Linked DNA regions of Oryctolagus cuniculus. The protein of the gene in region 3 interacts with the protein of the main gene of each other region in a pairwise test. Links are inferred from orthologs where the notes say so. Each region holds a gene or a part of one and is shown on either strand. Other genes may lie near its edges. The genes, in order: DUSP13B, CDCA7L, CARD9, USP15, KIAA0408, MEOX2 and CWF19L2.

Evidence for each region.
Region 1: the proteins of CARD9 (region 3) and DUSP13B interact in binary tests that used the Homo sapiens proteins (3 or more experiments, as listed by UniProt). The two-hybrid records come from large-scale screens. The link is inferred for Oryctolagus cuniculus from reciprocal best matches to the Homo sapiens genes CARD9 and DUSP13B.
Region 2: the proteins of CARD9 (region 3) and CDCA7L interact in binary tests that used the Homo sapiens proteins (3 or more experiments, as listed by UniProt). The link is inferred for Oryctolagus cuniculus from reciprocal best matches to the Homo sapiens genes CARD9 and CDCA7L.
Region 4: the proteins of CARD9 (region 3) and USP15 interact in binary tests that used the Homo sapiens proteins (3 or more experiments, as listed by UniProt). The two-hybrid records come from large-scale screens. The link is inferred for Oryctolagus cuniculus from reciprocal best matches to the Homo sapiens genes CARD9 and USP15.
Region 5: the proteins of CARD9 (region 3) and KIAA0408 interact in a two-hybrid assay, tested with the Homo sapiens proteins (2 studies listed by BioGRID and IntAct). The two-hybrid records come from large-scale screens. The link is inferred for Oryctolagus cuniculus from reciprocal best matches to the Homo sapiens genes CARD9 and KIAA0408.
Region 6: the proteins of CARD9 (region 3) and MEOX2 interact in binary tests that used the Homo sapiens proteins (3 or more experiments, as listed by UniProt). The two-hybrid records come from large-scale screens. The link is inferred for Oryctolagus cuniculus from reciprocal best matches to the Homo sapiens genes CARD9 and MEOX2.
Region 7: the proteins of CARD9 (region 3) and CWF19L2 interact in binary tests that used the Homo sapiens proteins (3 or more experiments, as listed by UniProt). The two-hybrid records come from large-scale screens. The link is inferred for Oryctolagus cuniculus from reciprocal best matches to the Homo sapiens genes CARD9 and CWF19L2.

What each region holds. Positions count from the first base shown.
Region 1 is NC_091446.1:66,157,306-66,161,236, forward strand, and holds the start of DUSP13B (dual specificity protein phosphatase 13B), read right to left. Parts: upstream 2,801-3,931; 5' UTR 2,745-2,800; coding exon of another isoform or gene 2,686-2,744; coding exon 2,599-2,685; exon of another isoform or gene 2,506-2,598; intron 885-2,505; coding exon 690-884; intron 396-689; coding exon 301-395; exon of another isoform or gene 297-300; intron 80-296; coding exon of another isoform or gene 1-79. Other genes in the region: SAMD8 (sphingomyelin synthase-related protein 1), read left to right, coding at 15-79, 3,207-3,342. UniProt on the Homo sapiens protein: Dual specificity phosphatase that dephosphorylates MAPK8/JNK and MAPK14/p38, but not MAPK1/ERK2, in vitro. Exhibits intrinsic phosphatase activity towards both phospho-seryl/threonyl and -tyrosyl residues, with similar specific activities in vitro.
Region 2 is NC_091447.1:13,939,636-13,943,135, forward strand, and holds part of CDCA7L (cell division cycle-associated 7-like protein), read right to left. Parts: intron 3,027-3,500; coding exon 2,880-3,026; intron 1-2,879. UniProt on the Homo sapiens protein: Plays a role in transcriptional regulation as a repressor that inhibits monoamine oxidase A (MAOA) activity and gene expression by binding to the promoter.
Region 3 is NC_091432.1:236,667,521-236,670,301, reverse strand, and holds part of CARD9 (caspase recruitment domain-containing protein 9), read right to left. Parts: intron 1,437-2,781; coding exon 1,257-1,436; intron 1,151-1,256; coding exon 1,007-1,150; coding exon of another isoform or gene 942-1,006; coding exon 816-941; intron 1-815. UniProt on the Homo sapiens protein: Adapter protein that plays a key role in innate immune response against fungi by forming signaling complexes downstream of C-type lectin receptors.
Region 4 is NC_091442.1:64,682,102-64,685,601, reverse strand, and holds part of USP15 (ubiquitin carboxyl-terminal hydrolase 15), read right to left. Parts: coding exon 3,426-3,500; intron 3,269-3,425; coding exon 2,996-3,268; intron 2,236-2,995; coding exon 2,165-2,235; intron 1,788-2,164; exon of another isoform or gene 1,772-1,787; coding exon 1,656-1,771; intron 561-1,655; coding exon 411-560; intron 1-410. UniProt on the Homo sapiens protein: Hydrolase that removes conjugated ubiquitin from target proteins and regulates various pathways such as the TGF-beta receptor signaling, NF-kappa-B and RNF41/NRDP1-PRKN pathways.
Region 5 is NC_091436.1:42,226,768-42,230,267, reverse strand, and holds the end of KIAA0408 (uncharacterized protein KIAA0408 homolog), read right to left. Parts: intron 3,482-3,500; coding exon 3,308-3,481; 3' UTR 372-3,307; downstream 1-371.
Region 6 is NC_091447.1:7,213,695-7,216,535, forward strand, and holds the end of MEOX2 (homeobox protein MOX-2), read right to left. Parts: intron 1,902-2,841; coding exon 1,677-1,901; 3' UTR 501-1,676; downstream 1-500. UniProt on the Homo sapiens protein: Mesodermal transcription factor that plays a key role in somitogenesis and somitogenesis and limb muscle differentiation. Required during limb development for normal appendicular muscle formation and for the normal regulation of myogenic genes.
Region 7 is NC_091432.1:99,252,735-99,256,234, forward strand, and holds part of CWF19L2 (CWF19-like protein 2), read right to left. Parts: intron 3,480-3,500; coding exon 3,369-3,479; intron 1,106-3,368; coding exon 983-1,105; intron 1-982.

The DNA.
Region 1 (3,931 bases), on a different chromosome or scaffold from region 3:
GCTAGGCCACCCACATGTTCTCCCTGAGTCCCCATGGAACCCTTACAGAGCCGATGACACCATCATCCCCACTTTACAGGTGAGCAAACAGACTTAGGTTAAGCACTGTACCCAGGGCCACACAGCCAATAGGAGTGGCAACCAGCTTTCAAGCCTGGTCCTTTGGATTCTCCTGTGGTTTGTTTATACTCCGATCTCTGACCTTATTGGGTCCCCCAACCCAGCGCCCAGCCCTGCCCAACAGGAGCCCTGGCCCTCATTTCCCAGCACGCACCCATCTCCAAAACAGCACTCACCCACCTGGGGGGGTACCCGGCGCAGGCTGTGCTCTCCTCTGACAGGCAGTTTGCGGTGCCGGCTTCCAGCCGCCTGTCTCTGCACACTTGATGCTGTTTCTATTTTTTGATTTGAGATGAACTGTAAAGCATGCTGTCTATTCCCTGCTTCCCCCCCGCCCCGGCCACTCCCAGTGTGTCCACTGGTCCACGGCACGGTCAGTGCCAAGCCCAGCCGGGTCCTTCCCCTCTCTGCTCCCCGAGGTCTGGGGCGGTGGAAGAGGGAGCAGCCGTGGCCACGGGCTGGCATGAAGGCTTAGACTCCCCTCCCTCTCTCTTCTCCTGCCCCTCTCCTCCCGCGGACTCGGGTTCCTGGAACTTTGGGGGGCCGCTGAGAGGGTGGCCCACTCCCACCTGTGGGGACTGAAGACTGTGGCTGACAAGCGGTGCAGGCAACAGGAAGAAGCAGACGGCTCGAGGGCGGATCCCACGCTGGGCTCTTACTGTCTTACAGGCATCCACCTGGATCAGGGCCTCCAGCGACAGCAGTAGGGCCAAGACCAGGGTGGCCAAGTGGCAGAGCCTCGGGACAGGAAGTAAGGCTGGACGCTGGGAGAGAGAAGAGCTCTGTATTATAGGCAGGTGTACCACGGGATACCTTGGCTAGGACTTGTTGGGGCAGGGCCAAGAGCTGTGTGAGGTGGAGTAGGTGCAGGTTCCGGGAGAGATGAAGCAGGCCTAGAGAGAAACCTCACAGCTCCTCCGTCCTGCACAGGCTGTGTGGCTGCACAGGCTGTGCACTGCACAACTCCTGGGGGCTCCATTTGCAAAGACAGTTTGGTGGATGGCTCCCCCGTGAATTTTGTTACGCTGCCACCCTTCCCAGGTGACTTCCTGGAAGCCGCCAGCTTGAAGGGAAAGATGCTAAGGTCAGAGGTGAGGATGTTTAAGGGCCCCCAGCTGGGGAAGGTTAATTGGGCATTATCAGAGACTGCTGCTCTGCTAGGCTTCCGAAACCTGTCTTGAAGAGAGCAGGCTGGGACCATGCCATTCCCATGGGAGAGCATGTCCGCCTCTCCCTCTGCCCCCACACTCAGAGCTCCATGTGACACTTCCTCACCAGCGTGGCCTTAGACCTAATCTCCACCCTAGCTGTAACCCTGTCTCTCCTGTCACACTCACCCAGTCCTTCCCTAACCCTCCTCTCCAAGATGCTCATCCTCCAGCCGGCCTATGGAAAGGCCTCTGTGATGCCTGCGGGTCTCCCCTTCAGCTGGCTGGGCTGCCGCACGGGCCATGTATTCAGAGAAACAAACAAGCCAGGGAAGGATTCAGGCCTTGTCTGGGGAGCCCTGGGGCAGAGCAGAAAGCAGTGCCCTGTAGCTCCTGGGGGTGCCCAGGCCAATCAGCCACCTGCAGCTGGCAGTCCCTCCATGTCAGTGGGTGCTGGGCATGCAGTAACTTCCGTAAAATCCTGGGGTCTCCACCCCAAGAACAGACACCCTTGCTGCCTCCCACCTGGGACTGATTCTAGAGAAACAAGCAGCAGGACCTCTGTGACCATCGGTGGGCTGGGTACCTGAGAAGCGGGGTTCCTGCTGGGGAAGCTCAGCTTGTCCCACCCAGCATCTGGGAAGAGGAGACATTGTGCCTAGCAAGGGCTTGGGAGAGGAGCTCTAGGGGGCCCACTCCCCTTGTGTGACTTCAGGACCCCTGCTGTTGCTGCCCAGCACTGGACACACAGCAATGGCAGCAGCACATTTGGGAACCTGCTCGTGGGAATGGTGGGGCTGGGCTGGGTGACGCTCAGCAGAGCCCAGAATGTGCTTTCCCTGGAGCTGTGACTGGGGGTGGGGGTGGGGGACAGGTTGTAGAGGTGCAGGCCATGCAGCTGGCAGAGCTGCTGGCTGGAGGGGATGTGAGGGAGCCCCCAGGCTCGGTGCCCAGGCAGGGCAGACAGCCCCAGGAGAGGTGGGAAGCCTTACCACTTCCATCTTGCACCGCCTATACCTTTCCTTCCTTTTGTGTTCTCTCAAGAGTACGGGTCGGGCTGGGAGAGATGGGACAGGCTGCCTAGGCTGGGCCCTGGTGAGGCTTTGGGTGGGTAAGGGGAGCCAGCAACTTGGGGTATGGACCAGCCCCCTCACACCCTCACTGGCAGCCACACACTGCCCTGAGCACCGCCGCCCAGGTCCCCTGCCCAGCCCCTCACCTGGCCTTTCCCATCCAGGCCCCAGTGCTGTCCTGGTCTATACTACCTGCCCAAGCTCTCACCTGCCACCTCGATGTCAACAGCCCCAGCTTTGCCCCAGCCACTCCTCACCTGGTTCCTCAGCTGCGGCCGGCACCCCGCAGCTTCTGGTCCAGCTGGCAGAGCTGATGGAGGAAGCCTCGGTTGGGGAAGACCCATCGATGTTCCCTCACGGTGATCACGGCCTGGCGCAGGGAGAGCCGCTGGCACAGCATGAGGTAGGCCAGGACGAGCGTGGCAGAACGGCTCACGCCCACCACACAGTGCACCAGGACCTTGGCTGAGGGAGACATCTGGTGAAAGACCCTTTCCTGCCAGCTGCCCCCCGAGGCTGGGTTTCTTTTCCCAGCTTTGCCTTGGGTGCACACCTGTGAACCCAGACAAGTCAGTCGACCTTTGTGGGCTTTACTTTTCTGATCTGTCAGATGGGTAGACTGACACCTGCTGTGCCATGCAGTCCAACTTCCTCGCATGGCCCTTTAGGAGCTCGGCAGCCTTACCTCAGAGGCCCCCACGGTCCTAGCCACCCTCAGCTGTAGGATGGGGAGGCGACTTCCAGTTCCTTGGACAGCTCAGCTGACCACATGCCATTCCAACCACCTGGAAAACATGCCCACTGACCCTGCTCTGCTGTTTCTCCATCCCTCAGATGTCACCTGAGACCTGGCTTCCTCCCACAGGTCTACTGGGCTACTCAAAGTGTCGCTTGAATCACAGAGCAGATCATCACTTTTTGCATGGGTCTCCATGAACGATTCTCTGCTTGAGCATACACCTGCCCTTCAAACGTGCCTCTGGGGCTGGCGCTGTGGCACAGTGAGTTAAACCACTGCCTGTGATGGCAGCATCCCATGTCAGGGCGCCAGTTCAAGTCCTGGCTGCTCCAGTTCCAATCCAGCTCCCTGCTAATGTGCCTAGGAAGGCAGCAGAAGATGGCCCAAGTACTTGGACCCATCACCCACCTTGGAGACCTGGATGGAGTTCCAGGCTCCTGAATTCGCCTCGTACAGTCTAGGCCATTGCAGCCATTTGGCGAGTAGTTCAGCAGATGGACGATCCCCCCCCCCCCCCCTTTCTCTCTCTCTCTCTGGCTCTCCCTCTCTCTCTGTCACTTTGCTTTTCAAATAAAATACATCTCGAGGGATGGGGGGGGGGGGAAGGAGCACTTGTCAAACTTATCCCTACACAGGAATAACCGTTGTGCTGCTTCACCTCTGACTGTCCTTCCCCCCGATGCGTGATGGCGTATTCCGTGGGGCAGGGCTTCAAGTCTAGACTCCCGGAATTCAGCTCAGGGCCCAGCATACAGCAGATCCTCAGCAAATAGCTAGTGAGGGAATGCATGAAAAGCAAGAGTGTCGAAGGGCTCTGGGCGTTAAAAAGGGACCGGAACTGTAGCCTGTCA
Region 2 (3,500 bases), on a different chromosome or scaffold from region 3:
GCCCAGCCCCAGCCATTGCAGCCATTTGAAGAGTAAACCAGCAGATCAAAGATTCTCTCTCTCTCCCTCTTTCTGTAATGGTACCTTACAAATAAGTGAATAAACCTTTAAAAAGAAAGGAAAAATCTTTGTGCGGCCCGCGTCGTGGTGTAACAGGTTAAGCCGCCGCCTGCAGTGCCGGCACCCCATACTGGGTGTGAACCAGTGGGTGGAAGATGGATCTCTGTCTCTCGCCTCCCTCCCTGTAACTCCTTTCTTCTGCAATACCACAAAGGAGGAAACCCAGCTCTCCTAAGAGTGCTCCAAAGAAAGCAGAGGAAAACCTGCAGACTTTGGGGAAGCCCCCCCAGAGTGGCCCCCTGCAAGCCCACAACCACTCCCCAGGGCTCCAGCCGGGGTCCTCGTGCCTCCTGCCCTGGATGTACCTTTTTTTTTTTTTTTTTTGACAGGCAGAGTGGACAATGAGAGAGAGAGAGACAGAGAGAAAGGTCTTCCTTTGCCGTTGGTTCTCCCTCCAATGGTCGCTGCGGCTGGCACACAGCGCTGATCCGATGGCAGGAGCCAGGTGCTTTTCCTGGTCTCCCATGGGGTGCAGGGCCCAAGCACCTGGGCCATCCTCCACTGCACTCCCTGGCCACAGCAGAGAGCTGGCCTGGAAGAGGGGCAACCGGGACAGAATCCGGTGCCCCGACCAGGACTAGAACCTGGTGTGCCGGCGCCGCAAGGCAGAAGATTAGCCTAGTGAGCCACGGCGCCGGCCAGATGTACCGTTTTTTAAGCTTGAAAATGTCTCTTATGAATGACTGTGGGTAACTGCAAGAGTTTGCTCCATTCTAGATTACTCTGTTCCTTTATTGATAGCAGTGGTGCAGCTGTTTTTTTTTTGGGGGGGGGGATGCACCCACAAAAGGGAAGTTTCTGTAACGTGAGATTCAAAGTGTGGTCGGGGAGCCCAGGGTGGGCACCATCTCCAAGTCCCTGCAGCGGCTCTGAGCTGTGAGAACACAGCGTGAGGGTGTGGACTCAGGGCCCGGCCCTGGCTAAAGTCGCCAGGTACCTGCAGGGCAATGGGGTCTGTATGGAAACTGCATTAACCACCCAGAGCGGACCACTGAATGCCAGGGGCCCCGGAACAGCAGGGAGCCCCGATCTCCCAGTCCTCCTAGCTCCCGCTGTGCTCAGTGCTGGCCTCAGCAGGCAGCCGGCAGCCCGGGAGGAATCAACATCTTTGCTGGCCTGATCGACACGGGAGAAAAACTCAGCAGTTGTCCTAAACCCAAGCCTGCGCTGTCATTTATCTTCCTTTCCCCACAGAGGCGAAGCTCTCCTGCGGCCAGCCTCGCTGCACGCTGGCCTCCAACCCTGGCCGGGCTCCCTGCTCCCCATGCACACTGCCATAGGCCGGCTGAGGGTGCTGCGGTCACACTGGGCACCATAAAGGGCACGTGTGACCAAGTCAGCAGTCTCCCAACAGCTGCTCTGTCTCTTAAGGCCCAGGGCAGGCCAGGTTCTCTGCTGGCTCCGAAGGCCCCCAGGGTCCATGCCCCAGGCTCCACCCCCCCTGCTGCCTGACCTGCTCTGAAGACGATTGGCAGGAGAGGGGGCGTGGCCAGAGCCCAGGCCTACACGGGACCCTGGTGGGAAGGACGAGGGCTCCAGCAGATGCAGAGCGAAGTGGGGGAAGGCATCAGTGTGCGAAACACGGCAGAAGTTTCCTCCCCCCCGGATGGGAATCGCCAAGACAGGAGGAGGAGGACGAGGAGGAAGGATGGATCAAGGGCAGTGAAAGATGGAGCTAAAGACGGGGAACCAGGAAAGCCAGCTGGCCAGCTGGCAGACAGAGGACGGGGCAGGCAGGTCCCTCTGCACACAGGAGCAGGCTCCCCCAGCGGGCCGCAGAGAGGCACTGTGGCAGGAGCAAGAGCCGAGGTATGCGGGAAGAGCAGCGGCAGAGTGGGATGCAGGGGGCCTGGGGCCGTGGCCAGGGCCAGGGTCTGGAGATGGATCTTAGCATCTGCACTTAGAGATGGGCCAGGTTCTGGAGATGGATCCTAGCATCTGCACTTAGAGACGGGCCAGGGTCTGGAGACAGACTCCTAGCATCTGCACTTAGGAGATGGGCCAGGGTCTGGAGACGGATCCTAGCATCTGCACTTAGGAGATGGGCCAGGGTCTGGAGACAGACTCCTAGCATCTGCACTTAGGAGATGGGCCAGGCTCTGGAGACGGATCCTAGCATCTGCACTTAGAGATGGGCCAGGCTCTGGAGGCGGATCCTAGCATCTGCACTTAGAGACGAGACGAGGCCAGGGTCACCAACAAGCAGTCAGGCAGCCCCTTCCCCTCATCACACTAACTGCTTCCCTTCCTGCTGCGGCCAGCAGCAGCCAGGGTGGGCCTCCACACAGCGGCCGCGGTCAGGGCAGTGGCAAGGCACAGAAACACCGCGGAAAGGGAGGTATTCTGATGGCTGCGGCACGAGACAAACCTCCAGGAAGTGAGCCCCGGCAGAACTGTAACTTGTGCTTGCTACAGATCAAAGCGATCCGAGAATGACACTGGCCCAGCAGCTGCAAAGAGGCAGGAGCACCTGCTGCACCCCGCGGGCGGCCACGGCAAAGGCGGGGCCCACTCCCTGCCAGCCATGGTGGGGGGGTTCTGAATACAGCAGGGAGCAGAGCAAAGATCTGATCACATGAGGGTTCTCTATTAATAACAACAACAACAACAATAATACCATGGGCGGGAAGAAACCAAGAGGCGCAAAGTTTTGGCGATGGGACGCCCACCGGCTAAGCGGCCTCAGTGACCGCAAGCCACGCACAAACCGAGGCGTCTCGGCCCCCAGGCTCAGGCCTGGGGAGGAAGCAGCATCCTACCTGCGCCGGGGACGCCAGGGAGTCAAAGCTATCACGGCTCCCCTCTGGCGAGAGGGTTTCCATGGGAACCTCATCTGCAAAGCCCAGGAACTCCTCCTCCTCCTCGTCGCTGGGGGCGTTGAAGATGTCAGCCACCTCCTTAGGGATCTGTTTTGGGGTCAGAAGAGGAAAACCGGGCACTGTTACAATCGCGTCAGGACTGGGACTGTCCAACTCCTGACTTTCCCCCGTGGGCCATGGTTACCCAGAAGGCCCTGGGCACCCTGAGCCATGATTACCCAGAAGGCCCTGGGCACCCTGAGCAGGTGCTGCAGCCAAGACCTTACAGCTGGGGGGGGGGGGGGGGACGGTGGAGGGAAGGGAGGGAAGAGATGAGAGTGGCAAATTCCAGAGGCATCTGAGAAGGCAGCAGAGGACCTCACGTGCCTGGGCCCCTGCCACCCATGTGGGAGGCCTGTAGAGTTCCAGGTTCCTGGTTTCAGCCTGGCCCAGCCCCATGCGTTGTGGCCATTTGGGGAGTGAACGAATGGACAGAAGATCTCTCTGTGTCCCCCTCTCTCTCTGTTACTCTGCCTTTCAAAATAAATAAAATAGGGGCCGGTGCTCTGGTGTAGTGGGTAA
Region 3 (2,781 bases):
GACGGAGCCCCTGGGGCTGGCCTCAGCCTGGCCCAGCCCCGGGTGTTGCAGGCAGTGGGGGCGAACCAGATGGAAGAGCTGCCACTGCCCGCAAATAAGCAAAGCTTAAGAACTGGCACTGTGGCGCAGCGGTTAAAGCCTGCAGGGCGGCATCCCACATGGGCGCCGGTTCTTGTCCCGGCTGCTCCACTTGCGATCCAGCTCTGTGATGTGGCCTGGGAAAGCAGTGGAGGATGGACCAAGGCCTTGGGCCCTGCACCCGCGTGGGAGACCTGGAGGAGGCTCCTGGCTTCGGATCAATGCAGCTCTGGCCATTGCGGCCATCTGGGCAGTGAACCAGCAGATGGAAGACCTCTCTACCTCTCTCTCTCTCTCTACCTCTCAAAGAGATAAAATCTCAAAAACAAGGAGCATGATGGTCTGTGCTGTGTGAGACGCCCGCCTGTCCCCACTGGGGGCCGGCCAGCCGTGGGACACCGACACACAGAGGGAACAGGGCCACGGGCAGGGGCAGGGCAGAGTCTGGGCCCATCAGCGCCCCCGCGGCCGGGACTTGATCCATTTTTGTCCCTATTGGGCCACCCAGAGGCAGCCAGAGGTCCCGCCTACCAGCCCTGCCGCTGCCTGCCTCCGAGTCCCGGCCGCTCTTCTTCTTTGTGTGTGTGTGTGTGTGTGTGCAAGTCCTCCTCCGCCCCCAGGGCCCCCCCCCCAGGTGCTGGTTTCTGTGTTAGAGCAGCTCCCTGAGGGTGCATCGTGGCCGAGGGGCGCACCGAGGGAGACCCCGAGAGCGGGGAGGGCACTGGGCCCCCACACACCTGGTCCCGCTCCAGGGCCACCTCCTCCATCTGCTGCAGCACGGCCTCCATGCGCTCCTTGTAGAGCCGGGCGTCCTTGCGCAGGGCCTGGCACTGCAGGTCCAACACCTCCTTCTCCTCCGCGCACTGTGGGGACGGCCGCTCAGCGCCCCGCGGGGAGGGCGCCCGGCCCCCAGGGCCCCGCCTCCTACCCGGGCGCGGAGGGCCTCGGCCTGGCGCAGCTCCTTGCGCAGGGAGAAGACGGTGCCGGCCTGCTCCTGGTGGTCACGCAGCACCTGCCGCCACTCCTCCTCCAGCACCTGGACGTAGGGGCTGCTCCGCTCCCGCGTCCCCTGCTGGACACAGAGCGGCCGTCCCGCGCGGCTCCGCCCCCGCCCGCCCCCGCCCGCCCGGCGCCCGGCGCCCACCCGCCCCCGCCCGCCCGGCGCCCGGCGCCCCCACCTGCGCCGCGGCCTCCAGGTCCTGCACGCGCGCCTCCAGCTGGGCCTTCTGCTGCTGCAGCTCCCACAGCAGCTCCTGGCTCGGCCGCTGCTCCATGGCGCGCCGCAGCCGCAGCGTGTGCTTGCGCTCCACCGTGCAGTCCTCCTCCGCCCGCAGGAGGCTGTGCCGGAGCCCGTCCACCTGCACGCGGCTGCCGGTCAGCCCGCCCCCGGGCCAGCAGCCGGGCCCCAGGCCTGCGTTCCCCACCCCCGGGCCGGGCAGAAGGGTCCCCAGCATGGCTTGCGGCCCCCGCCGTCCCCCAAGCCAGGCAGTGGGGCAACCAGCCTGTGGCCCTCGACCCCTGCCCACCAGGCCCACCCCAGGCCGGGCAGCGGGGTCCTAGGCCTGCATTCCCCACCCCCCAGACTGGGCAACGGGGTCCCATGCCTGGTTCATAGCCCCTGTCCCCCCAAGTCCACCCAGGCCAGGCAGTGGGGTCCCAGGCCTGCAGCCCCCACCCCCCAGGCCAGGCAGTGGGGTCCCAGGCCCGGCTCCTGGCCCCTGCCCCCAAGGCCCACCCCAAGCCGGGCAGTGGGGCACCCAGCCTGTGGCCCTCGACCCCTGCCCACCAGGCCCACCCCAGGCCGGGCAGCGGGGTCCTAGGCCTGCAGCCCCCACCCCCACGCCAGGCAGTGGGGTCCCAGGCCTGCAGCCCCCACCCCCAGGCCAGGCAGTGGGGTTCCAGGCCCGGCTCCTGACCCCTGCCCCCCAGGCCCACCCCAGGCCAGGCAGTGGGGTCCCAGGCCTGCAGCCCCCACCCCCACGCCAGGCAGTGGGGTCCCAGGCCTGCAGCCCCCACCCCCAGGCCAGGCAGTGGGGTCCCAGGCCCGGCTCCTGGCCCCTGCCCCCAAGGCCCACCCCAGGCCGGGCAATTTGGTCCCAGGCCCACCCCAGGCTGGACAGTGGGGTCCCAGGCCCACCCCAGGCCAGGCAGTGGGGTCCCAGGCCCGGCTCCTGGCCCCTGCCTCCAGGCCCACCCCAGGCCGGGCAGTGGGGTCCCAGGCCCGGCTCCTGGCCCCTGCCCCCCAGGCCCACCCCAGGCCGGGCAGTGGGGTCCCAGGCCCACCCCAGGCTGGACAATGGGGTCCCAGGCCCACCCCAGGCCAGGCAGTGGGGTCCCAGGCCCGGCTCCTGGCCCCTGCCTCCAGGCCCACCCCAGGCCGGGCAGTGGGGTCCCAGGCCCGGCTCCTGGCCCCTGCCCCCCAGGCCCACCCCAGGCCAGGCAGTGGGGTCCCAGGCCCGGCTCCTGGCCCCTGCCTCCAGGCCCACCCCAGGCCGGGAAGTGGGGTCCCAGGCCCGGCTCCTGGCCCCTGCCTCCAGGCCCACCCCAGGCGGGGCAGTGGGGTCCGAGGCCCGGCTCCTGGCCCCTGCCCCCCAGGCCCACCCCAGGCGGGGCAGTGGGGTCCCAGGCCCACCCCAGGCTGGACAATGGGGTCCCAGGCCCACCCCAGGCCGGGCAGTGGGGTCCCAGGCCCGGCTCCTGACC
Region 4 (3,500 bases), on a different chromosome or scaffold from region 3:
TGAAGCCAGGAGCCAGGAGCCATAAGCTTCTTCCAGGTCTCCCACGTGGGTACAGGGGCCCAAGGACTTAGGCCATCTTCCAGGGCTTTCCCAGGCACATTAGCAGGGAGCTTGATAGGAAGTGGAACAGCTGGGACATGAACTGGCGTCCATATGGGATGCTGGTGCTGTAGGCAGAGGCTTAACTCGCTTCACCACAGCCCTGGCCTGAAAAAGTATATTTTTTTAATTTGGTATTTGGAAAGTCTCTAAGAGATACTGGTCCTTGCTAATTGTTATAACTACTAAAAAACTAAAAAAATAGAAACTGGATCCAATAGTGCCTGATGTTTTCTAAAAGATAACAAAAAACATTGAGTAAGTTTGAAAACAGAGTTGTTCAATATTTATGAAGTACAATCAAAACTTACTTGATAGGAAAATCAACTAAAGTATCTAACTTGTCTCTCATGTATCGACTGTAAGAAAATCGCTTGAGATGTACCACAAGTACTGGAGGCAGGGACCATAAATCCAATTTCTTTGTTGCTTGCTGATGTTCTTTACAGTTTGGACAATACCTAAAAAATGAAAAGAAATATTTAAAGTTTGATAGAGGTACAAACAAACAGTACTTATTAAAGAGAACAACAGATGAAAAAAATGTTTGAAAAGTTCTGTATTTTTTTGGTAAGCAATTAGCATATGCTAAATAGGTATTAGGCTGAAATCAACTCCTGTTAACATTTTTATCTTCAATATGCTTTCCAAACGGGTTTAAATATAACTAATATGCAAATAAATATTCAAAGAAATTATGAGGGCTAGACTATTTACCTTTTAGTATGCTTGTTAAAAAGATATGTATGTATTACAAATCTGTGCTAAAATACAGACACTAGAAAACTTTAAAACTTCTGGGCACTAAGAAAATAATACCAAAAAATGCAAGGATATTTTAAAAAGTCACAGAAAATGGAATTAAAGACAAGTTTATTTTGGTCCCTTCCTTCTGAATTCTGAAGTCCAAGCCAATTATTTTTTCATGATATGATTTCCATGAATTTTTTGAAATATTGTAGTATAGCGTAATTTTCCTAAAAACTTTCAAAAATGATTACAAAGCTAAAAATTCTTGGAAAAAAGTAACTAAAACTAATTTTTTTTGACAGGCAGAGTTAGACAGTGAGAGAGAGAGAGACAGAGAGAAAGGTCCTCCATCCGCTGGTTCACCGCCCAAATAGATGCCATGGCCGGCGCACTGCGCCGATCCAAAGCCAGGAACCAGATACCCACTCCCCATCTGATGTGGGTGCAGGGCCCAAGCACTTGGGCCATCCTCCACTGCCTTCCCGGGCCAAAGCAGAGAGCTGGACTGGAAGAGGAGAAACTGGGACAGAATCCGGCGCCCCAACTGGCACTAGAACCCAGGGTGCCAGCACTGCAGGCGGAGGATTAGCTAAGCGAGCCACGGCACCGGCTACTAAAACTAATTATTAATAGTAAATGGCTATTATGAAAGATATAGTAATGAGATTAAAGCTTAACTCTGTAATAACACTTTTAAAGGTATAACCATCTCTCTTTATACACTATAGCTTATTATAAAGAAATGCTTATAATTTAAAATATTTAAGAAAAATGATTAGAAACAAATATTCAACTCTGCCTCTTACCAGGGATCTTCAGCACCTAGCTTTTCTTTTGTTGTAAAAAGCTCAATGCAATCTTTTAATTTCACAAAGGGTTTTTTAGGAGGTTTATATTCCACACTTTCATGTTTTTCGAAATCCTAAAGAGAAGTATTTCTTGAGTTAAGAGAACAAATGAAACAAAACTCATTTTAGTGATACCATCTTACTATGAATAATAATGAAAACTCCTAAACTTTCTCAAAAGAATTATAAATCTTAGGTCAACTTAGATTTATTCCACAGATCTAAATAACTCCTGTGTATAACTATCTGGATGACTGAAACATGTCAACAGAATCCATGTTCAAAACCAACTCTGTACCTTAAGAAAAAAAGATCTTTTTGCAAAGCCTTTTGTATTTCATGATTTTTCTTAATGGTAAAATAAACATATTTGGTAGATAGAACTAAGTGAATATAGTAAAACAATATGATTAGCTATGGTAATCAAAATAAAATAAAGAGGTAAGAAGGAGTGAGTAATGACTTACCTCAGCAGCATTTTCATCAAAATATCTTTTTTTCAATTCAGGATCCCAATCCAAAGCAAGAAAAGATCTTTCTAAGGTGAAAAAATATTTTTTCTTTAAATTTACTATTACTTGGTGTTAAAATTAGTATATCTTAATGTTAGGATATGTGTCATAGTAAATAACAGCAATCTTTTCTAATAACACTAGCACTGGGTGATTAAGGCAAATAGCTGTTTCCAAGCTACTGAGCTACTGAAATATTTTCAGAGTTTAAAAAAAGATAAAAACTTAAGCATGAGTTCAATTTCCATTTAAGAAACACTGACATGCATTTTACTTAGATAAGAAGGCCTTTCGTTTAACAGTTTATTTTTTTATTTTTTATTTTTTTATTTTTATTTTTATTTTTTTTTTTTTTTTGACAGGCAGAGTGGACAGTGAGAGAGAGAGACAGAGAGAGAAAGGTCTTCCTTTTACCATTGGTTCACCCTCCAATGGCCGCCGCTGCAGCCGGCGCACCACGCTGATCCGATGGCAGGAGCCAGGATCCAGGTGCTTTTCCTGGTCTCCCATGGGGTGCAGGGCCCAAGCACCTGGGCCATCCTCCACTGCACTCCTGGCCATAGCAGAGGGCTGGCCTGGAAGAGGGGCAACCGGGACAGAATCCGGCGCCCCGACCGGGACTAGAACCCGGTGTGCCGGCGCCGCAAGGTGGAGGATTAGCCTATTGAGCCACGGCGCCGGCCTCGTTTAACAGTTTAGACAATGCATTTTTCATGACAGGCATGAATTTCGTGGCTTTTTCACTGAAAAAAAATCATCTCTAAGTAATTTTTCAGAAATACTTACCGTCTAGCCTAAGCTGCCGATCATCAAATCTTATATGCCTGGTATCATCTTTGATGTAGTTGATATCAGTATTGCCTAAGTTGTTGAACTGGAATGTAAACAATCGTTTTTTGTGTCCCGTGAGTTGACCTTTGCAAGTATCTTCAGTACATAATCCATTTTCAGAATCATTATCTCCTCCAACTGAATCTTCAGACTGACTGTTTTCATTCTCTGAGGGAAGTTCTTGATCCTGGCTGGACTCATCATCTGGCTCATCTGTTTCCATTTCACCTATTTTAGATATTACAAATTTAAAAAGAAACCCAATGTTCCAATTTTAAGTTTTTTGCAAATATTTTTAAGTTCATTAATGTTCATCTTCATATGTTTTTCTCTGAGGCAATAATCTTAGTGAAAAGATTTTTATAAGTTAACAGGAAAGTCTTACTTGGTGAGCCTTCCTCATGTATGCCATTTGGGCCATTCCCATTAATGTTTTGGTCCTTACAGCAGTGTAGGGATC
Region 5 (3,500 bases), on a different chromosome or scaffold from region 3:
TGCTTTATGAAGTCCATTTTTTTGAAGGAACACATATTCTGGATAAGATGGGTAATCATGATTGTAAACAATCATGCAAATGGAAATTTTCAAAAGTGAATGCACTTTTCAAAAAACCATATTAATCAACTCTATCAGATGCTACCTGGACACAGATAGGAGACAGAATGTCAGTGTGTGAGAAACTATATTCATACGGGGTTAGATGTGGCCAGGAGCAGAAAGTCAGGCAGATTTAGCTCAGATTCTACTGTTTAGAGACATTTTTGGGAAGGCTAGATTAAACTGTGTACGTATTTGAATTTACACATAAGACTCTCAACTTTGAGGAAAAAACAGAATTTCTGAATGCATAAAAATGCCACAGCAGGTATTTCCACACTTATTTTATTTAATAGCTTCCAATGAGTGAAGGAGATTTCATTATCAGCAAATGTGCCTAAAATAATTCTAAAGATCTTTTTAAGGAAGCAGATAATCTTGAAGGTTGAGGTGTTTCCTCAGGATGACAAGGAGCCTTGTAAAAATCAATCTGTGTAGAAGTGAATTATGTTTTATGGAAAAATCTGTAAAATGAAAAATGATCATTCTCATTGTCTAAATAAAAGTCAATAAAACTCATGGTAAGTTTTGAGAAAGTGAACTATACAAAGCATCATTTATATTTTTTGTGTTAGGGACATAAGGGCAACAGAAAGAGCTTAAGTTAGGATGGCACAGACAGGCACATACATACACTCACACAGGACTCTTCTCTGCCTCATTGTTATTCCTTTCTGAGATTAGCCAATAATCTCCTGTTGAAATAATGTAAGACTCCCAACCCCCAAATGCCTTCTAAGGAACACATCTATCATTATAAGAGTTTCTACTCCAATATTTAAATCCAAAAATGGTGTCACAATGAAGGATATGTTGTTGGGAAGAAAATGTCCATCCAAAGTAGAAAAACGACCAGTTAAAAATCACAATACATCAAAAAATATTTTCCAAGGATAACTTCCATTTACCCGATAGATTTTTCCATAAAAATTTATAAAACATGTTAAATAAAAAGCAGAACATTCAAGTAAGCTGATTTAATTTCTTCAGTTGTATAACCAAGGGGTTGGACTAGATACTAAATGTTTTAGGGCTAATATTCTGATTTGTCATCATAAGATATTAAAATGTGTCCCACTGGCTCATTCAAGTGGTTAGTGGCTTAAAACTAGGAAGCCTGACAATATAACTCTTCTAATTTACAGGTAGGAATGGCAAGTCCCAGGGAAGGAAAGAGATTACCCAAGGTTATCTTTTCATTCAGATATCAGTGTTATTTCTTGCAAATCATCCTGGTCATCAAGTATTTTGCTTTGTTTTAAGAGAGTCCTAGTTCCTACCCTTTGAAATTTTGCATTAGTAATTATGCAACAAGAGCAATAATTTCATTTTTAAAAGAAATCCTCAATATTCTGACTTGTAGGTAAAGGTAGGAGCCACAGATCATACAAAACTGCCTGGAATACAGTGATGGATGGTGTCTTGGCACCACTGCAGCAACATTTTCCTAACAGGTCCATCTTTTTATTACCCAGAATACCACCTTCCCAGTGTTTTCACCCCTCTGCTTTAAAAGCATATAATGACAGTGATTTCAATTGATTTCTAGATTACTTGTGGATTGATAGCCTTTACTTACCATCCAATCCAAAATCTTATCCTAGAAGATTATTTTAGCTTCACAATAGAAGGTCACCTTGTGGTAAAGTATGAATCTGGCCATCACCATGCTGCAGTCTTTAGCCTTTTAAGGCAGTTTGCTATTTTATAATTGTTTACTTTACCTTTGGGCATGGTATAGAATGAAGTGAGATTCTCTAAATGGTCAGAATAAAGAGAAGGCTCTTTGAATACATTTGGAATAAGAAATTCTTAACCTTTTCTGGCAGTAAAATAAAAATTACATAGAATTACTGATAATAATAAAACATAATTATTTTTGTATTATATAGACAGTGAAGAGCAAAGTTGCCTCTAAAATCTTCTGTGTAGAATTCCAAGCACCTCATCATTCTTATTTATATCAGTGAGAACATGGATCTTAGGTGTTCACTGTATTTAAATTGTAGAAAATGCCAAAATATACATTTCTGATTCTTATGCTACAATGGATGCCAAAGTTTAGTTTAAGGCTTTTTTTTTTGTAGCACACTATAAGAAGTATATTACAGTTCAGCGCTCAGTGAAATATTATTCCTGCTTTCCTTGTTAGTAAAAACAGTGAATTAGTCTTTTATCTCTTAATGTTAGGGAAAAGTTTAGAAAAAGGAAAAAATGAACAACTTACCTCTAGTCATGTATAACTCTAGATAAAGCAACAAAACTAAAAGCTTACCACAATTTTAACAAAAAGCAGAACTTCAACATAGTTTAATTTCTGTTTGCATCCCCTTTAAGGAATATTTGTCACTGAGATTGACAAAATAAATTATTTCGTCATGTCATTTATAAGGCAGTCTCATGAAACCAGCTCTGAGGATCAATACATTGTCAGAGCCAAACTAGACTACCAAATGATACATAAAAGCTTTTATGAATATTTATGCTATTTCAGAAGGTCGATCTGTTAGGTTTGTGACATACTTACTTGAAAGATTAAAAAAGGAGATCAATATTGTTAGTTCATCCTCACATGGATTAAGCAACTATGACTCGTATTTAGAAAACTACCAGTGTTAGACGTGTGTATAATGATTATTTTTCAATAAAGTTGACAGCCATAGAAGTGGTTAATTAATATATGTATACCTCAAATAACTTAAGTGGATACCTATTAAAAGGTCTACAAAATATAAACAGTACTGTATATTTTCAAAACTTTTAAATAAACACAAAGAATATATAGGCATACATGTTATAATTTCAAAGTGAACACTAGCACATACGGTTTTGTTATCTAAACACATACTAGGATACTTCCTATGACAACACATGCACCTACAAACAAATGGTCATGCACATAACCTTGCTTTCTGCCACTTGCAAGAAAGAATATACAATATCTGTACACATTGTTTCAACTGAAATCATATTGGGAAATTGATGAGGGTGACATTAAAAATTCTGGTCTAAGAAATCAAAACACAGGAAGATAACTGTTCCACAGATTAAAAACACTGAAGACTGATGGAAGGTTAAGATTTAAATTACTCCTCCCAGTGATCTTGAAAGATACAGTAGAAAACAGGACTGTCTGTAAACACTCATAATGCTGTTTGGCCACTGGGACTAGAGCTTTTGTAATCTAACAATCCAGGCCAGAGACTTAGACCATCTTTGCTTCAGATTGAAGAGAAATGGTGCAACTGTTGGCAGTTCTCCGTAAGGCTGGGGGTGCTGACGGTGATCTGGATGCCCATCTGGATGGGAGGCGGCGATTTGCTGGTCTAGCAGGTCGAGAAAACCCTTTTCCAGGGAAGGCCTTCACTGCCAGGGATTCCTGAGACACAAGGGAAGAC
Region 6 (2,841 bases), on a different chromosome or scaffold from region 3:
TGACACAAAATGTTTTAAGTTAATATAATAATTGACTTCTGATACCTGTGGTGTCCATTCCAATGAAGATTCTGATTTGCTATTTAGCTCATAGTAACATCAAGGACTCTGGATAGTGTGACTTTAGAGCAACTACTGCATCGATTCACATATGTTAAACATACATTTTAAAATATATGACTACTTTACTTATTCATTGTGGTGAATAATGTTACCTTTTCCCTTACTTTTATCTTTGATTTGTAAAGCATGCAAAGACATTCATTTGCCATATTCTTCAAATTAAGAAAATGGTTTACAGTATGATGATGTTTAGATTCTCTTTGATCACCCAAGGATTGATTTTTTTTTTCTTGCCATAATAAATCTACAAATGAAAACCTGTGATTCATTAATGATCTGGATGTGAATTAGCACAAGAGCAGATGAGTCTGGGGCTCTCTTAGATATGAATATTAAAATCTGTAGAAATTAAGGAAATCACAATGGGTAGACCAAAATTATTTACAAAGGATCATTTATTAAACATTTTTTACAAAATACAAAGATGGTTGTTCTGCAAGAATACATCACATATTAAAAATAACGTGTTTTTACTGAATTTAATTTGAAGATATTCAGAATTGTTTTGTCTATCTCCTTGGGGAGCCCATTTGGCTTTGCTCCTTTTCTGACACCATTGCTAAGAAGGAAGAAACATTTTCTTGTTAATTAAGTCATATTCATAACAGCTAAAATTTTACAGAAATAAAATCAGACAGTGTCTGCCTCAAAAAAGCTCTTTCCACAAAGTAACTGATTTGCCTATGGTCCTATTTTTTTTTTCAAGCTACAAGATAGGAAAAATCGAGGAGGAGCTAGGTAAGTTGTATAATAATGTATTAGCAGCAGTTGATAGTAAATGCAACATAAGATTTGTTTTGTCTGTGGTACAAGAATATGTCGTATCAGACTCTACTGTATTTTTCTCTACTTGTACACAAGTAAGCACATACGGACTGTCTCGGAATGACAAATGCATAAAAAGGCAGGAAGCTGGCCTGGTTGGCATTATCAGTGCCTATTTTCATCAGCTAATATGAATGTATTGCTAAAATTAGTGAAGACAGGAAAATGACTTAAGGATAATATATACAGAGTTAAAATACATCCTTTTTAAAAATCCACTTGAGTGATCTCAGGCACTTTGGCTGTTCAGGATAAAAGGTTTTATGTTTTATTCTTGATAGCAATTTCTCAGTGCAAGCAAAAGCAAATACCTGCCCACAGTCATAAACATGAACTCGTACATCTGGAATGTTTAAAGCAAGTTCATCTTCAATGTCTTCACTCTGGAGGCATCTTGTGTAGAAATGTGTCATAATTTGCTCTTGGTAGCCATTTAATTTTTCAGTGCAAGCAAAAGCAAACATACCTGCTCACTGTCATACACACAACCAAATATCTCTGGAATATTCGAAGCAAATTCACCTTCTGATCTTCATCATGGAAGCATCTTGGATAATTGGCACTTAGTGTAAACCCTCTATAAATCATGCAAAACAGAAACACGATGCCTGAATTTAATAATATTAAAAATCACGGCCATGGCCATCTCTCTGTGTAAACGCTGTTGGGTAAGGCTTGCCATCACGACGCTTCTTTCCTGAGAATGGAGCTGGTCCTGTCTGTGTGGATCATAAGTGTGCATGCTCTGAGCTGTGGTCGCTGTCGTGGCTGTCTTCGTTGGCCAGAGAGTCCCCTGTTTGCTGGAGTGTGGCCGCACCGATCCCCGACAGCTCTGAAGGGAGCAGGGTTCCTTTCTTCACGTTCACCAGTTCCTTTTCTCGGGCGGCAGCGCCCTGCTGGCCCCCTTTTACCCTCTTCCACTTCATCCGCCTGTTCTGGAACCACACTTTGACCTTGGACAAAGAAAGAGAACACACAAAGCAAAACAGAACATTAAATTCGAGTGCTTTCTCCTTTTGGCCTACCTAGGAGGAACAGATTCTCAAAGGCTTACACGAAGACACCATGTAGGAGGCGTAAATACAAAAATAAATCCATCCTGAGTTAAATCAGGTTGGTATTCATGATGATAATTTATAAACATTCAGAAGATGCATGCAGATGGTTACCCTTCATATTTTACAACAAAGGGAATTCATTGTAGTATTACCTCCCAGTTTTTTTTTTCCTTGGGGATTTAAAATTAAAAATCACAACAATAAAAAGTAGACAAGAAAGGACTTATCATTCAAGATGTCTCCAAGGTATTTGGCTCTGCTCTTGTACTGGTGCCCTGATAAGCATGGGAAGGGACATACCTGGTTATGTAGCCAGGAGCTTCATCAATGGGTTGAATGTTATGTGCACATTCATCTTAACACACTAATGTGAAAAACTGTTTTCCAAGGTTTTATCAGCTTAGTTTCCCTATTCATTCCAGGGCATAAAAGTTCAAGTAACCCACATCTATGCCAGCATTTGGATTTACCAGGTTCGACTTTTTTTTCCAACACGATGACAATAAATGTTATCTCTATGTGCTTTTATTTTGTCTTTCCTGTTTTCTAATGAAGTGAAGCAACTTTTAAGAGTTTAGGATCCAGAGCTGGTGTTGTGGCTCAGTGGGTTAGACTGCTGCCTGCGACACCACCGTGTCCCATGTTGGAACACTAGGAGTCCTGGCTGCTCTGTGTCCAATTCACTCCCTGCTTCTGCACCTGGAAAGTGCTGGCATTTGAGGAGTGAACCAGTGTATGGAAGGCCTCTCTCTCTCTCTTTCTCATAGAAAAATGAATTTTGTTTTTAAAAAAGCTAATAGCCCATTATTCTATTCTATGAAATACCTCCATGTCT
Region 7 (3,500 bases), about 140 Mb from region 3:
AAATAAATCTTAAAAAAAAAAAAATTACCAGCTAGCAAACACAATTGGCCTAATCAAATTTACACTGTCCAACCCTTTGGAATTATCCACTTTTGTTGTTGTATTGAGCCCTTGCTCTCCACATTTCCTTATTTTCCCTTTCAAATGCCCAAACATCTCTGTACAAGTTGAAATTGAGCTCAGCAATTTCCTCTGCTATTTGTAATTACTGACTAAAATCTACTTTCAAAAGTTTAACTAATACCCAGCTATGTTTCCCTTTAACAACATGCTGGCAAAAACTTAGTTTCTGAAACTATGTGGTCCATATTGTAGATTATGGCAATTCAACTTGGAAGAAAACCCTATGAAGATCATACATGGCAGACCATTTATCCCTAAATATCTCTAGCTTGTCACTCGATAAGCACAACCTCTGTTCCCTGAAAACATACACAAAGGATTTGGCCTACTTTATTTTCCTAAGTCTTCTCATCCTGAACCAGCTAGAGACACAGCTAACTAAGCACTCTCATCCTTTGGCCCCCAAAGGTAAATATATAAACACATCCTATTTCAAAGCCTGAGATGTTATTATCTATGAAAAGACCAAACAAAGGTAACAGACTCTTAAGTCTCTTTTCCCTTATGTTTATAATACCTCTCTTTCCTGCTTTTCCTTCTAATTTTCCAACACACAGCCTTCTTTACTTCCTTTTTTGGCTCTCCAGTGCTAGTTTTCACCTTTAGTTTCCCTAAGTATTTAATCCATTCTAATGGCTCCAACTAGCAATGTTTCCCAAATCATATTCCTGTTTTCTGTTTTTTGGAATCCAAGGTTCACATTTTCAATATTTTCTGGCCTTCTCCAAGTCCACGTCTCCCAGACATTTTCGTGTCATACTTTCTTAAGGTCTTCATATGCTTTAAGTTTCAATACACAATTCCTTCAAAAAAACTTTCTGACAAATAGCTGCTTTAGTTAATTTTAGTATATACTTACAGATGAACTATCAGATGACTCCTTGCTCTTCTCATATTTCTCTTTCTTGCTCTTTTTTTTCTTCTCTTTCTTTACTTTTTTTGAATGCTTGTCTTTTTTTTTCTTTCTCTTCACAGAGTGTTCCTATAAATAATTATTTTCAACAGGTTAAAAAAGCAACCTAGTTTTATCTTCCTTAAAAGGAACCATTTTTAGAGAAAAAAAATTTATGTTCCAAAAGCTTTATAAATCTTTCATGAGAGGAACAATATCACCAAATAAATAAAATATTCCAAGAAGCTTTAAGATATTTTCTATAGTGGCCAGGGTTGTGGCACAGCAGGTTAAGCCAGATCCTGTGACTGGCATCCCACATTAGAAGGCCAGGTGGAATCCCAGCTCTCTTGCTTCCAGTCCACCTCCCTGCTAATGCACCTGGGAAGGCAGTCAATGATGGCCCAAATGGTTAGACTCCTGACACCCACCTGTGTAGAAGACCCATTAGAGTTCCTGGCTGATGGCTTCAGCCAAGCTCAATCCTGGATGTTGCAGCCATTTGGGGAGTAAACCAGTGTATAGAGACAGATCACTCAATCTCTCCTTGATACTCTGCTTTTCAAATAAATAAATACATAAATCTTCCTTTAAAATACCTTCAATAGCATATGTACTACTCACAAACCATATGACTAAGAATTTTTAAAGATTTGTTTATTTATTTGAAAGGCAGAGTTACTGAGAGGCAGATATAGAGAATCGTCCATCCACTGGTTCACTCCCTAGATGGCCACAACAGTCAGGACTGGGCCAGGCCTAAGCCAGGAGCCAGGAGCTTTTTCCAGGTCTCCCACATGGGTGCGGGGACCTAAGGACTTCGGCCATCTTCCTCTGCTATCCCAGGCTCATTAGCAGGGAGCTGGATAGGAAGTGAGCAGCCAAGACTTAAACCAGTGCCCATATGGGATGTCAGCACCACAAGTAGCAGCTTTACCTACCACGCCACAGCACCAGCCCCATAGCTAAGATTTTTTAACAGAAAAATTATAAGGAAAAGTTTGGTTTTAATTTATTTTTATATTCATGTGTCATACAGATATAATCAAACATATAGGCATACATCTACACACACAGAGTAACTTTCAATGGTACAAAAAAAACTCATACAACATTATGAGGTCATAAAAAACATAACAAGATAGCTTGAATTAAAATTGTTGGAAGAGGCTGGGGAGGAGGAATGAGAAAGGAAGAGATATTAATAAAAGGGTATAAAGTTTCAGTTAGACTGAAAGAATACTTTTTAGTGACCTATCATATTTCATGGTGACTACAGTTAATAACAATCTATAGTATATTTCAAAATTGCTATAAGAATAGATTTTAACATTCTCACCACAAAACAATAGTAAATTGGAAAGGTAATGTATATGTTGTTTCATTCAATCTTTCTAAAACATATAATGTAAATAAAGTCATTATAGTATGCCCCACAAACATGCACAATTATTTGTCACATAAAGAATAAAATAATGTAGGAGAGATCAGCGCTGTTCCCAGCAGGTTAACTAGCCACCTGCTTCAGCCAGGTTTTGGCCTGGCCAAGCCCTGGTTGTGGCAGCCATTTGAGGAGTAAAGCAGCAGATAAAAGATCTCTCGCTCTCTGTTTCCCCTTCTCTCTCCATAACTCTTTCAAATAAATAAATAAATCCTAAAAAAAAAAAAAAAATTGTAGGAAAAAAAAACAAAGCTTGAGACCTAGAAAAATAAATAAAGGTACAAAGGTTAAAATGCATAATTTCTTTTTTTTAAAGATTTATTTATTTATTTGAAGGTATGAACTACACACAGAGAGAGGAGAGGCAGGGAGAGAGAGAGAGGTCTTCCATCTGATGGTTCACTCCGCAGATGGCCACAACGGCCAGAGCTGTGCCAATCCGAAGCCAGGAACCAGGAGCTTCTTCTGGGTCTCCCACACGAGTGCAGGGGTCCAAGGATTTGGGCCATCTTCCACTGCTTTCCCAGGCCATAGCAGAGAGCTGGATCGGAAGAAGAGCAGCCGGGACTAGAACCGGTACCCATATAGGATGCCAGCGCTACAAGCCAGGGTGTTAACCCGCTGCACCACAGCACCAGCCCCCAAGATGCACAATTTCTTAAATCCACAAACTTGCCACAAGTGAGCCAGAAATTTGGAGTTAAAACTGCTACCAGCCAACTCTAGGAACAAAAATCTTTCAATGTCATAATATCCAAAATACTACACATTACTTCTACCTAAGCAATAAAACTATCCAGTAGTGCCAACTCTGTTATATTCATTCTGTAACTTACAAAAATTTCTATAAAATTTTTCTTCCAATGTTAACTTAAATAATAAGTGCAAAAAAAGACAAAAGACAGTACTGACCTTTGAGAATTGTTCAATTCGTTCATTTACATCCGGTAGCATCCATGTATCCTCACCCCGAAGTCGTTTAAGTTCTTTACGCCTTTCTTCCTTTTCAAAGTTAGCTTTAGCCTACAACAAGAAAGACAACTG